Linked DNA regions of Mus musculus. Each later gene encodes a partner of the first gene's protein in a complex. Links are inferred from orthologs where the notes say so. Each region holds a gene or a part of one and is shown in the gene's direction. Other genes may lie near its edges. The genes, in order: Dock5, Rhog and Elmo1.

Region 1 (4,306 bases):
AGCTCAGTTTGTAGTTTGGTTGATTGCTTCCCTATTGCTTAGAATTTTTGGTGATTTTATTTTTCTAAATATTCAGTATTAAGTATACAATGAACATGTAACTTTAAATCACAAAGGAGATAAATGACACATTATGTAATCATACTCAACTTTAAGATCTCAACTATCAAGAATAAAAACTGGCATTAAAAAAAAAGAGATGCGACTGAACCACTTTAAGAAAGATGGCTGAAGCACGGTCATAAGTACCTATTGTTTCTTTCAACCAGGACTTTAAGTTCAGAACTTACTTTCTCAGGAGGAAAACCAAGACTAATATATATATATATATATTCAGGCATGGTTTGCAAAAAGTCATCAGAGTTCACTCATCTCTAATCAAGCATTACTGTCTATTACTGTGTGTTTTAATTACATGTTCTGTTCTTGTCAGGTTCCAAACCGGCAAGAAAGCCTCCACAGACTCCAAGAACAACACAATTTCCCGCAAGAGGTATTTTTCAGATGGCGAAGCTAACTGGTTGGCTGGTTAGTCTGAAATTTTACTTCTAAGTGTGAGGTGTCCTTACTACTAAGTAGCTTTTTCATTCTGGAGGTCTCTCCAAGATGGAAGCGCGTCTCCCCGCCGGCAGAGGGCGCCAAGCGCACCCCTGTGTAGTTTAACGCACAACTGCCTTTTGGAGTCCTCAGTCCCAGGCTGAAAAAGGACAGTGGTGGGAGTTGGGGGGTGGGGTGGTGGTGGTGGTGGTAGATGTTCTGGGGTCCTCCCCACAAGGATGCCTTCTGGGCAGGGGGTCAGTTGGAAAGGGGAACCTTTTGGAGCGAACTTCTTCCCTTAGTGTGAAAGTTTGTGTTGCTGCAACTGAGGAGAAATAAATCCCTGAGTTTGGGGTTTCCGGATTAGCGCTTTGTCAACAGTGTCCTAACGGAGGGTCTTCTAGATTGGATACGTCTACTTCTGAAGCGCCCGTGTCCCTTGCACCAGTTCTCTGCGGACCTTGAAGCTCGGCTTCCGGCTCTCTCGGGGCTGCAGCAGACGCTCCCGGAGGCGAAGGCGGGAGCTCACGGCTCATTCATTCAACAAATATTTACTGAGCGTCCGGAGGCGACCGGTGACTCTCACCAGCTCCTCCTCCGCGCTCGGCGGCGCAGCAGCCCGGGAGCGCTGGGCAATCGCAGAGCCGACGCTGGGAGGACCGGGCGGGCGGCTCCGGGCTGCGGCTCCAGCCGGGCGAGGCGGAGCCGGCGGGGGAGGCGGGCGGCCCCGGGGCGCAGAGGGCGCGGCCAGCGGGAGGAGCCCGGGCGGCGCCGGGGAGGGCGCGCGGGGCTGCACGGCCGCCGGTCCCAGCAGGTGACCGCGGGCGAGCGGGCGTGCGTGCGGGGCCCCGGGCGCGAGCGAGGCGGGACGGCGTAGACGCGGCCGGCGCGCCAAAGTCGTCCAAGTTTTGCCGGAACATGGCGGAGGAGTCCGGCCGGCGCAGCAGCGCTCCGAGCACGAGTGTCTGTAGCCGCTAGCGCCGCGGGGCGAGGTCGTCGCCATGGCCCGTTGGATCCCTACCAAGAGGCAGAAGTATGGGGTTGGTGAGTGCTTGCCCCGCCCCACCCTCGCCCGAGCGCCCGGGAGTCCACTTTGGCCCCGCGGAGCTCGCGCACACTCGGCCACTCGGTCCCGCTGCTGCACCCCGGGAGTCTAGCCCGCTCTGGTGTAAAAGTGCTTTTAGGCTTGGGGACTCTGATCCTCCCCTATCCGAACCCCAACTCTAGTGGCGCACACTGTGGGAACGCGCCAGGTCCCCACTGCCGTTGGTGGCCAGCGAGGGCCGCACGTGGGACGGTGCGCTTTGCGAGTGCCCTTCCCCAGATCCCACTTGGAAGCTCCAGAGTCCCTTTCCCTCTCTCCCTCCCTCCCTGGGACTGCAGTCCGGATCGCAGTCAAAGACAAAATGGGAAGCCGAAGTTGCCAGTAGAGGTGATGGAAGAGGCAGGAAGTGTGAGGCGTGGGAAGGAGGGCAAGGGGGTCCTGGGGCTGTTTGTGAGGACACCCATCTGACCTACTGGCGTGGTTGGAGAGGTGTGACACAGCTTCCCCCCAGGGGCAGGAAGAGGGTAGGTTCCGCGCAAGCGGGTGGCGTTTGTGTTCGCAGTACCCTAGCGCTCCGTCATTGCTGAACTCTGGCCTCTAGGTTTGGATCTGAAACCTTGGCGTTGAGGGGTTGGACCCAGGTGGAAAAACTTTCCACTTTCACTTTTCATTGAGCCAGGTCAGGGAGGAAGCACTCACCTTTAGCCGGACGATTGCCAGGAGAATTAGACTTTAAATGGAGCCTCTGGAATAAACAAGTGTGTTGTGTGGGAATTTTATCACTTTCTCTCAGGTCCACTCACTTGGCGCGTTTGAAATGCAACCCCTTACTTCACTCCTGTCAGCGCACCTCTTTTCCTTCAAGTCCTGGACCCACAGGAACACTGCCTGAAATTATCAGTCTGCCGTGACAGACATGAAGTCCTATGTGCCTATGTAACCGGGACTCAGACACCGCCTTCAGTCTTTAGTATATTATAATGTGATGCAGATTGAAAGCCTGCATATGTACATTTGCAAATATGTATATATACACACACACACACACACATATATATATGCATAATTCTCAACCTTTTTTTTTTTAATTTGTCTTTACTTTTAGAATTTTTGCTCCTCCACATGGCTGTGGGTTACATGGAAAGGTGACATTTCTTCAGTCCCAGATCAGTAGGTCTTGACTTAGCCTTGATAAGTAACTTGACTAGATACCTGCTAGTAAGTAGCTGGTCATTGTGTAAGTGAAATACTGTAAAATGGATGAAGGGTTGGGTGTGACAATCATAGAGCATGCCTAAAGCCCTGGCTTCCATCTTCTGTACCACAAGAGGAAATTAATTTATTTAAACATTATAGAGTACTAATTAATGACTAAAATATGCTTAGCAGTAACTAACCACTAATTATAAAAGGGTCATTTCTAACTTTACCTGGGTTAAAAGTTGTTCCCAACAAGTATGTTTCCGATGGGTTTGCTGTATGTAACCATAGGCACGGGAGTAAGAATGTTTCCAGTATTCCCGTGTTTTGGAGTCAGGTTTTTGGTTATTTATCAGTGGGCACTGAAAGTGTTCGGATAGTGTTTCTAGGGGACAGAGCTTAGCAGAGTTGTTCCAGGGTGTAATCTGGGGCAGTTACTTCACTAGACACAGCAGATCCTGGTAGGTATGGATGCTGAAGCACAGAATATGCGCTGACGTCAGGGATGAGTGTTCGTGGGAGGGGGCGGGTTCTGTGCTCTTGCATTTGGAAGCAGATGTACCTGGCTGCAGGGTCCAGTTGTCAGAGTCCCCACACTGAAGTCCCTCCCCCTTCTGTGAACTCTTCACTGTAGACAGTCCACTCATCTCTGTGGTTAGGTATTCTATGGAAAGTCACTTCTGTGGGACTTCACTCTCCTGTGCTTGTACCCCCATCTACAGGACACCCCTTCCCCCCACACATACACTGCATCCCACACCCCAGCCTTTTTTCCTTGGGGTTCAGTTCTGCCTTCTGCTTTCTTCCTTCACCTCTGCAGCTTTTCACTGCAATCTCTTGATCATACCTTACTTTCTTTCTTGCCTTATTCCCCCTCCCCTACCGGGTGCTATAGACTGCTAGCCTCTTCAGCAGAACAGCTGGGGCTACTGGCCAGAAGCAAATCAGCTTTATTGACTGTTAATGTAGGAAGGCTTAGTTAAGGAAGGTCACTGGTTTCTCTTCTGGGACCCCAGCCCTTCCCTCTGACCCCTTCTGACTAGTGGTTTGTGGGTGTTTTGTTTTGTTTTGTTTTGTTTTTGAGACAGGGCTTCTCTGGGTAGCCTTAGCTATCCTGGAACTCACTTTTGTAGACCAGGCTGGCCTCAAACTCCTGTGTTCAAACCTGCCTCCTGAGCGCTGAGATTAAAGTCATGTAACCACCATTCCCAGCATGACTAAGGGTATTAGTTCTTCCCTAATTGCACATACGTAAAGGGTGCAAGGGTATTTATCGGGAGGGGGAGTCGGTCATCCACGCTGGGGTGAGACTTTCTAGTGTTGAGGTTGCTTTGGGGTCACCTGCTCTTCTCGTGCTCAGTAAGGAAGCCCAGAGAACTCGTCATTGGCTCTCCCAAGTGTGACTTTTGATGGAATTGTACTTTGGTTTGTTCTATAAAGGGGGGTAGATGTTTGCTTATGTCTCTCCAGGGGAAGATTCTGGCAAGTGAAGGTTGTGGGTTTTTATTTCTGCCAGTAAGAGGG
Region 2 (3,720 bases), on another chromosome or scaffold:
GGCAGGCTTGAGAGGGGTCCGTCCTACTCCTCATAAGTGCTTTCCCAACAGATCAGAAGGCAGTGGCTGTGCACTCCTGTGTGTCTAGCCCTACACTCACAGCTTTTCTGTGGTTGAGGAGACAGAAACCCAGCCTGCTATTTAAGGGGGCATCTACCACTTATGTACAGAGAAGGAGATCCACAGCCAAAGCAGAGTTAAAAGAGGTAACGATGCTATGGAGCCTTATGGAGTGGTGAGACTTAGCCTAGGCCCAGAAGAATGGGGAAGATTTGAAAGGGGAAAGGGAATAGCAACAGAAAGGAAAACAAGCATAAACTCTGAGAGACAAGAATGAGTAGGACTTGATAGGTGTGGTGCCCACCTTCAATCCCAGCATTTGGGAGACAGAGGCAAGTGGATCTCAGAGTTCAAGGCCAGCCTGGTCTACAAACTCCAGGCTAGCTAGGGCTACACAATGAAGCTGTCTTGAAAAAGGAGGAGGAGAAGGGATAAGAAGAGGAGAATGACGGAGACTTGCTTTACAAACACCTTGTAGACCCTTTTGGAGCAAGGGAGCTAGGAACTCATAAGTACCTATATCATGCAATACTGTATATTAATGCACTTAAGCTTTATAGTAACCCCGTGAGAGAGTACTGCTGTAGCCACAATTGAGAGATAAGGAAAATGAAGATTAACGAGGCAATTCATTCTAAGTCCAGGGTCACACAACTGATAAGTGGTGGGAAAAAGAGTTTAAATCCAGGTCTGTATGATTCTAAAACCCCTCACAATTGAATGACAAAGTGAGAATCCAGGCATGAGTTTAAGTAGTTAAAGGAAGCTTATCTGACCCACTTCAGCCAGAGAATTTGAGGGAAAAGACTTGCCATACAGCTGGAGATAGCATGCCAAAGACAAAGTACTTGCCCAGCATGTGTGAAGCTCTAGGTTCAATCCTCACTAATGCTAACAACAACAACAAGATAATAAAATAAAGGTGAAAAGAGAATAGTTGTATTGGGAAAGGGGGAAAGTTTGAACTGGGAGTAAGTAGGGAGCAACTAGATCCTACTCACACATGCGCATATGTCATGCTTATTGCCTGTAGGGATGGAAGGCTTTGCTCTTGTCGCTGCCAATGTACATGGCACGAGATAATTTACAAAGTAGAATGCACCCTCATTCTGTACCCTCATGAGGCCAGGAAGGCGAGTGTTATGGCTGTTGCTGTAGATGAAGAAACTGAGGCTGACGTAAAGGAAATGACTAATTTGTTCAAGGCTCCACAGTTATCTGGGAGCCATCAGATACAGTGAAAAAAACTTGGGGCTTTGGATCACAGAGCTAAGTTTGTGTCCTGGCTCCCATACTCTAAGTAGCTGTGTGAGGTTAGATTACTTTTAACAGTTAGGGTTAGGGTGTTTTATTGAGGATCTAGGTCAGCAGGGTGAGCTCAGTGGGTCAGATTCAGGTATCTGGTGCTCTTGATCATATGCCACACTAAGTCATTCATAATCCTTTTCCGGTGCCAGCCTGGAAGCTACTCTCCCTCCCCACTCCTGTGAGGGCTGACTTACTGATCGCTGGTTGATAACCACCTCCCTAGAGAGCCTGTTGCACTTTTGGTCTCTTGGGCCTGTGACTGCTGGCTAACATTCCCTCCTTGCCTTCCTGTCTGTGCAGCCCATTGCTGGATTTGAGGGGGCCATAGTCTTACTGCCACTTCATCCGCTTCTGAACGGACCTGAAGATTTCAGGCCCAGGAATTCTGCTGTGAAATGCCAGGACCCAAATAATACAATGGACACAACTAATGATCCATGTTAGGATACCAGAAAATAGATTTCATTCTGAAGTTTTCCTATGTGTGCATATTTTATACACACAGTCACCCCCATTCCCTCTCCTCACCCCTTCTGTCTACACATTGCCCTTCCTCTTCCCAAGTAGTTCCCCTTCTGCTTCTCTCTCTCTCTCACACACACATACACACACATATTTAAAATATATTTAAATTTAGATTTCACATATGAACTATGAATCTTTTCCTCTGTAGGCCTAAGTCTTTTTTGTTTCGAGGCAGGTTTTTATTATGTATCTCTGATAGGCCTAGAACTCACTAGGTAGACCAGGTTGGTCCAAAGCTTGCATAATCCTGCCTCTGCTGCCTGAATGCTGGGATTACTGGTAAACTTACCCCGTCTAGCTTGTTTTACTTCATTCACCTAGTGCCCTTGTTGTAGATTTCTTAAGATTTATTTTTTAATTATGTGTATTTGTGTCTGTCTGTCTGTCTATATGTTTTTTCATACAAGTGTCAATAGGCTTCCCTGGAGCTGGAGTGACAGGCAGTTATGGAGCTGCTCAGAGAGGGTCGGGGCTGGGAATTGAACTCAGGTGTTCTGCAAGGCAGTACCTGCTCTTAATTGCTGAGCCATCTCTCCAACCCTGTCATAGACTTTCTACTTCATTACCTGAAAAGAGAAACTGAGGCCCAGACAGATAAGTGCCCAGTGCTTGGCCGCAGTGAGTCCGAGAGCTGCAGTAGAATTAGGTCTGTGGTCTTGCAGCTTGAGACTCCCTCTGCTACCCTGGAGGGCCTTATGTACATCTGCTACCCACTCTGAGGGACGACTGCTGACTCTCCTGAGCTTGAACACGCACTCGTTTACAGCAGATGGGAATCCTGTTGGTGGGAGTGAGAAGTTACCTCATCCAGTTGCACCATTTCCCTCCCAGCTGGTCCGAGAAGAGAGCGTTCTGGGAGAGAACCAGTCCCAGAGGTTGGGTCCATTGAAGCCTCACAGCACCAAAGTTCCATCATTTCTGCTTCCCAGCAATGGGTTGCCCTGGTGCCATCATGCATATTGACTTTGACTTTTGAGGCTTTGGAACAAATCCTGAGAGACTAATGAGAGGAGTCCATAAGTAGTTCGTTAATGATCTAACAGATCCCTGTACTGAGGAAGAACAAAAGTTGACCAGGTACTATCCTCAGTGCTTTAAAAGTAATGACTAATCCATAACATAAGTACATGCTGTAGGTATTATGTCCATTTCACAGGTAAAAATACTAAGGTTTGAAGAAGTAGTTTTTCCACTGTCATTGCTAGAAACAGGGATTCGACATTAGGCTGGTACCAGAGCCCATATAATGCTGCAGATTTGCAACATCTTGCTCAGTACCTCTCCTTGTTTCAATGTTTATTTAGGGTGGGGGTTCAAGACAGGATTCCTCTGTGTGACAGCTCTGGCTGTCCTGGAACTCTCTCTGTAGACCAGGCTGTCCTCAAACCCACAGAGATAGGCCTGCTTCTGCCTCCCAAGTGCTGGGACTAAAGGTGTGCGCCACCACACCCAGCATCTCCCCTTCTTTCTGATGTTTGTCTTGATGGGATAGGGATGACACCAGGATAACTGAACAAGAAGTGGTTTTTCTTTTGTCTTCATCTTTTCTTCTCAGTAGGTACAGGTCTCCTAAATCATGAATGTCCCTCTCATCTCTCCACAGGTCACTACTTCAGTGGGGTCCAGAAGAGAGAGGAGGCACTGCCTCCACGACAGTAACTTTACAGCACAATGCAGAGCATCAAGTGTGTGGTGGTGGGCGATGGGGCCGTAGGCAAGACGTGCCTTCTCATCTGCTATACAACTAACGCCTTCCCCAAGGAATACATCCCCACTGTGTTTGACAATTACAGCGCCCAGAGTGCGGTTGATGGGCGCACCGTGAAC
Region 3 (3,500 bases), on another chromosome or scaffold:
ATCTGGTTGAAGCAGTTCTTCAGTTAAGGTTCCCTTTTCCTTAGGTGTGTCACATTGACAACTGACGTTAGCTATTGCAAGTCCATTTGATAAAGCTAGCCCCAAATCCTCTATACCAGTCAGTAAGTGCCACAGCCCAAAATACAGAAAAGAGGCTTTGCTAAGTGGGTGTGAACTCTACTGCATAGCATCTGCCCTTCAATAATCCAGACTTCAGTAATCCGGACTCTGTTCACTTGCATAATTTCCCCCACATCTAGGGGCTGTGCCCTTCATTTTCAGCTTGTACAGATTAAAAGGACTGGCTTCAGCAGACGTTAGACTTTTGACTCTTTCTTTCCATCTTCTGGTTGACCTGCTTATTGAACAGTACTTCCTTTATAAGTAAATGTATAAAGTTTTAAAAAAGTAATGATGATAAGAGCCATCAAAGACACAGAGAGTCTCAGAGGTGTGGGGACACTTTTGTAGTGTTTGCGTTTTTAATTCTTTTTTAGAAAGAGCAGACATTTTTTTTTTTAAATTCTACTTTGCTTTTGGTCCTGGATTTTATAATCCAAACCGAATGTACAAAAATTAATTTGAATTGGCCATTTCCCAAGAAATACTGCTGATATACAGTTGAGAAGCACACCCTAGGATGAGGTAGCTTCTGGCCATCCTGACGTGAGCCTTTCTAACGGAAGCCTTTGTGGGCATGTTTTCTTTCCCAGGAGATGGCGAATATTTTGGCTCAGAAGCAGCTGCGCTACATCATTTTAACAGTGAGTACCCCGTTCACTGAATCCACCATGTTAGGGAGAAATGTCCTAGTTAGTGTCTGTGGGTTCTTCTGTGGTTCCACACTGGAGTTTGAACACTAGGGCCAATCTAGGAAGGGGAAGTATGCTTTAGAACTGGCACAGGCAGTGCTCTGCTGCAGCCACAGCCTCGGCCTGCTGGACGAGGCAAGGAAACATTTAGTGCACCTCAGCTTAGGTGTGCAGGCAAAGAAAATCAGAAACTCCTTGGCTCAAAAAAAATCCACCAGTATGAGCTCTTTTTGATGAGGAAGGTGGTTGGAAATATGGGAGGTTCTGGGAGAAGGGACTTAAAATTCAGGGGAAAAGAAGTTTGCAAAGTCATCTTGTCAGCGTTTAGAGATGAACCCTTTAGGAAGGGTTTTTTTCCGAGCTATTCACCAGTTATTGGAAGGAAGCAAGATTAATACTTATGAAACTAACAAACAGCAACGACCCAATCTGATGTTGTAATTCTACAGTTCAGCAAGCTTAACTCACGCATGCGCACACACACACGAAATATAGGTTTTAAATTCTTCTTTATATATGAAGAAGAAAACAGATCAAAAGGCCATTGCTTTTTGAAAGGCATTGGAAAGAAAGCTTCTCACTTAAAATTCAGCAAGGGATTGGTATGTTCTACAGCGCGGAATGTGCCACAGCACGGTAGTTACATAAGAGGGCAGACCCAGGAAATAAGAGAACTGCATGGAAATGAGGGACACAGCCTTCACTATGGTTTCCTAGGGAAGGGATGCTTCAGAGAACACACTCCAGCCATGTGACACTCAGGTTCAGGAATGGCTAGTTCGGTGCTTTCTGTAGGCTACGGTGTTTATAGGTTGTGTCTAGTCTCAGGGTACCTGGCTTTGGGTGTTTGGGACACTGGGAAGATGGCCATAGCCCTCCTAGTTTGCATATAAAAATACTTCTGCTATCTTATCTCTACAAACTGTTTGGGGCTTGTGCTGGAGTGCAGGTTCTGCAGGGTAAGGAAGTTCTCACATGCCAGAACTTCAGAATCATGGCTAGGGTTAACTTTGTGCTCTGAATCTTTTCTTTAATAATTTTAAAAAATGTAATTTGTCCACAATGTCTCTAGCATGTCATCCGAGCACAGCGGGCCATCAACAATGAGATGGCACACCAGTTATATGTTCTCCAAGTGCTGACCTTTAACCTTCTGGAAGACAGGATGATGACTAAGATGGACCCCCAGGACCAGGTAGGTGGATGCTCCACACAAATGTAATCAGAGACAGAGACAGTGCATCAAATGTCTGTCCTTTAGCTACCCTCAAATCCGGAGTCTTATATGATCCCATAATTGTTTTCTTGACATCTCAGAACTTGGACATATTGCTTTAAAGTTTAGGTGACCCTAAGATCAGAGAATAAAATGGAAGGGCTAGTCCATGAGGTTCCATATGCATGCATGTTTTTCCTTTACATTTAAGAGCTTGAGGTTAAAGCCCTGGGCTCTTGACCATATTACATTAAGTGGGGTCAAGTTCCCATACAGCTGAGGGCATTCAAGGCCTTGAGTAGCATTGATTCTACAAGTGGGAGTGGTTTGCATTCTCCAGTATCTAAGACCAAAGGCAGTTTGTCCTTTTCTCCCGTGCACCCTCATTTCTAGGCCTGTGTTTTTGTTGGCTGGCCAGTTTTTCTAACTCCCTGCTACCTCTGTCACTGTGTACAAAACATTCTGTTTCCACCCAGAAGGCTTTGGGGGGAGCTTCCCTGCAGGAGGGTAGAGGGAGGAAGCAGCTGGGAGCCCCGCCCCTGCTGTACACATTTTCAACTCAAATAGTGGTGCAGCTGTGGAAAGGAAAACATTCGCTATTGGCACGTGAGGGCCTGATCTGCTGCAGATGCTGAGCTGCACATGTGGGGCGTGTGGCTGCTGCGGCCCTCCATTCATGCTGAGAGGCCATGTGAGTAAGACTGAAGGAGAGGCTTGCATAGGCCAATGATTGTGCCCCGTGCTTTTTCTCTGAAAACCAAGATTGGTGTAGTACAAGGGAGACAAGACAATTGTTTTGCCACTTGGAGCGAGGGAGATCAGTGCTCTTAATATGGAGCAACACGCTTCATTTGTAAACACTTCCCCTCGTTGAATAAATGGCGCATAACATAATTAATCACTTTATCCATTAACTACATTCACATTGTTATAACCCCACTGCATGTATCTTCAGGCCTCCTTGTATGTGGCCAGACTGAATTTCTGTGCCCTCTGAAACCATATTTGCTCTCCTCCTATCCCTCCAATCCCTTCTGGGTTTCTATAAATCACCCCTCTGCTTCCTGTTTTTATTAAGTTGACTCTTCTACAAAGAGTTGATGAGCAGAAAAAAGATATTAGTTGCTTTCTATCTAGCCTGTTCTACTCAGCAAATTTAAGTTTTTAATTATAATGTTTTATGTTTTAGATTATAACATAAAAAGAGTATTGCCCTCCTCCTTCCCTCTCCCCAGCCTTCCCATACACCCACCTCCCTTGCTTTCAAATTCATGGCCTCCTTTGCTTTAAGTGTTGTTGCATGTATCTGTATTTGAACTCCTAAATACATAAATACAACCTGCTCGTCCATATACTATTACTTGTAGAGATGATTTCCGGGCTGACTAGTCGGTCTTGGATAGTTAGCTGATGAACTCTCCCTGGTGAAGACTGTTTCTCCTACTGTTAGCAGGCCTTAGTTACTTCCTATT

The links.
Region 2: the proteins of Dock5 (region 1) and Rhog are in contact, whole or in part, in a cryo-EM structure (PDB 8XM7), measured with the Homo sapiens proteins. The link is inferred for Mus musculus from reciprocal best matches to the Homo sapiens genes DOCK5 and RHOG. Residues at the interface, in NP_079216.4 of Homo sapiens: Val232, Phe345, Asn393, His394, Lys395, Gly396, Trp400; in NP_001656.2 of Homo sapiens: Ala121, Pro123, Leu126, Arg127, Arg128, Lys130.
Region 3: the proteins of Dock5 (region 1) and Elmo1 are in contact, whole or in part, in a cryo-EM structure (PDB 8JHK), measured with the Homo sapiens proteins. The link is inferred for Mus musculus from reciprocal best matches to the Homo sapiens genes DOCK5 and ELMO1. Residues at the interface, in NP_079216.4 of Homo sapiens: Met1, Ala2, Arg3, Trp4, Val14, Ala15, Ile16, Tyr17, Asn18, Ser22, Gln23, Gln30, Ile31, Gly32, Asp33, Thr34, Glu39, Tyr41, Gly43, Trp44, Arg46, Tyr48, Lys56, Ile58, Pro60, Glu61, Thr62, Tyr63, His65, Leu66; in NP_001193409.1 of Homo sapiens: Ile7, Val8, Lys9, Ala11, Tyr18, Pro19, Leu21, Glu23, Glu36, Asp39, Gly40, Ser42, Asn71, Gly72, Gln392, Asp393, Leu400, Glu401, Lys468, Arg531, Glu535, Leu536, Lys539, Leu547, Gln550, Gln551, Asn554, Arg555, Asn582, Thr688.

The regions. Positions count from the first base shown.
Region 1 is NC_000080.6:67,930,567-67,934,872, reverse strand, and holds the start of Dock5 (dedicator of cytokinesis protein 5), read left to right. Parts: upstream 1-1,300; 5' UTR 1,301-1,538; coding exon 1,539-1,581; intron 1,582-4,306. UniProt on the Homo sapiens protein: Guanine nucleotide exchange factor (GEF) for Rho and Rac. GEF proteins activate small GTPases by exchanging bound GDP for free GTP. Along with DOCK1, mediates CRK/CRKL regulation of epithelial and endothelial cell spreading and migration on type IV collagen.
Region 2 is NC_000073.6:102,240,089-102,243,808, reverse strand, and holds part of Rhog (rho-related GTP-binding protein RhoG), read left to right. Parts: intron 1-3,496; 5' UTR 3,497-3,564; coding exon 3,565-3,720.
Region 3 is NC_000079.6:20,286,007-20,289,506, forward strand, and holds part of Elmo1 (engulfment and cell motility protein 1), read left to right. Parts: intron 1-713; coding exon 714-764; intron 765-1,884; coding exon 1,885-2,007; intron 2,008-3,500. UniProt on the Homo sapiens protein: Involved in cytoskeletal rearrangements required for phagocytosis of apoptotic cells and cell motility. Acts in association with DOCK1 and CRK. Was initially proposed to be required in complex with DOCK1 to activate Rac Rho small GTPases.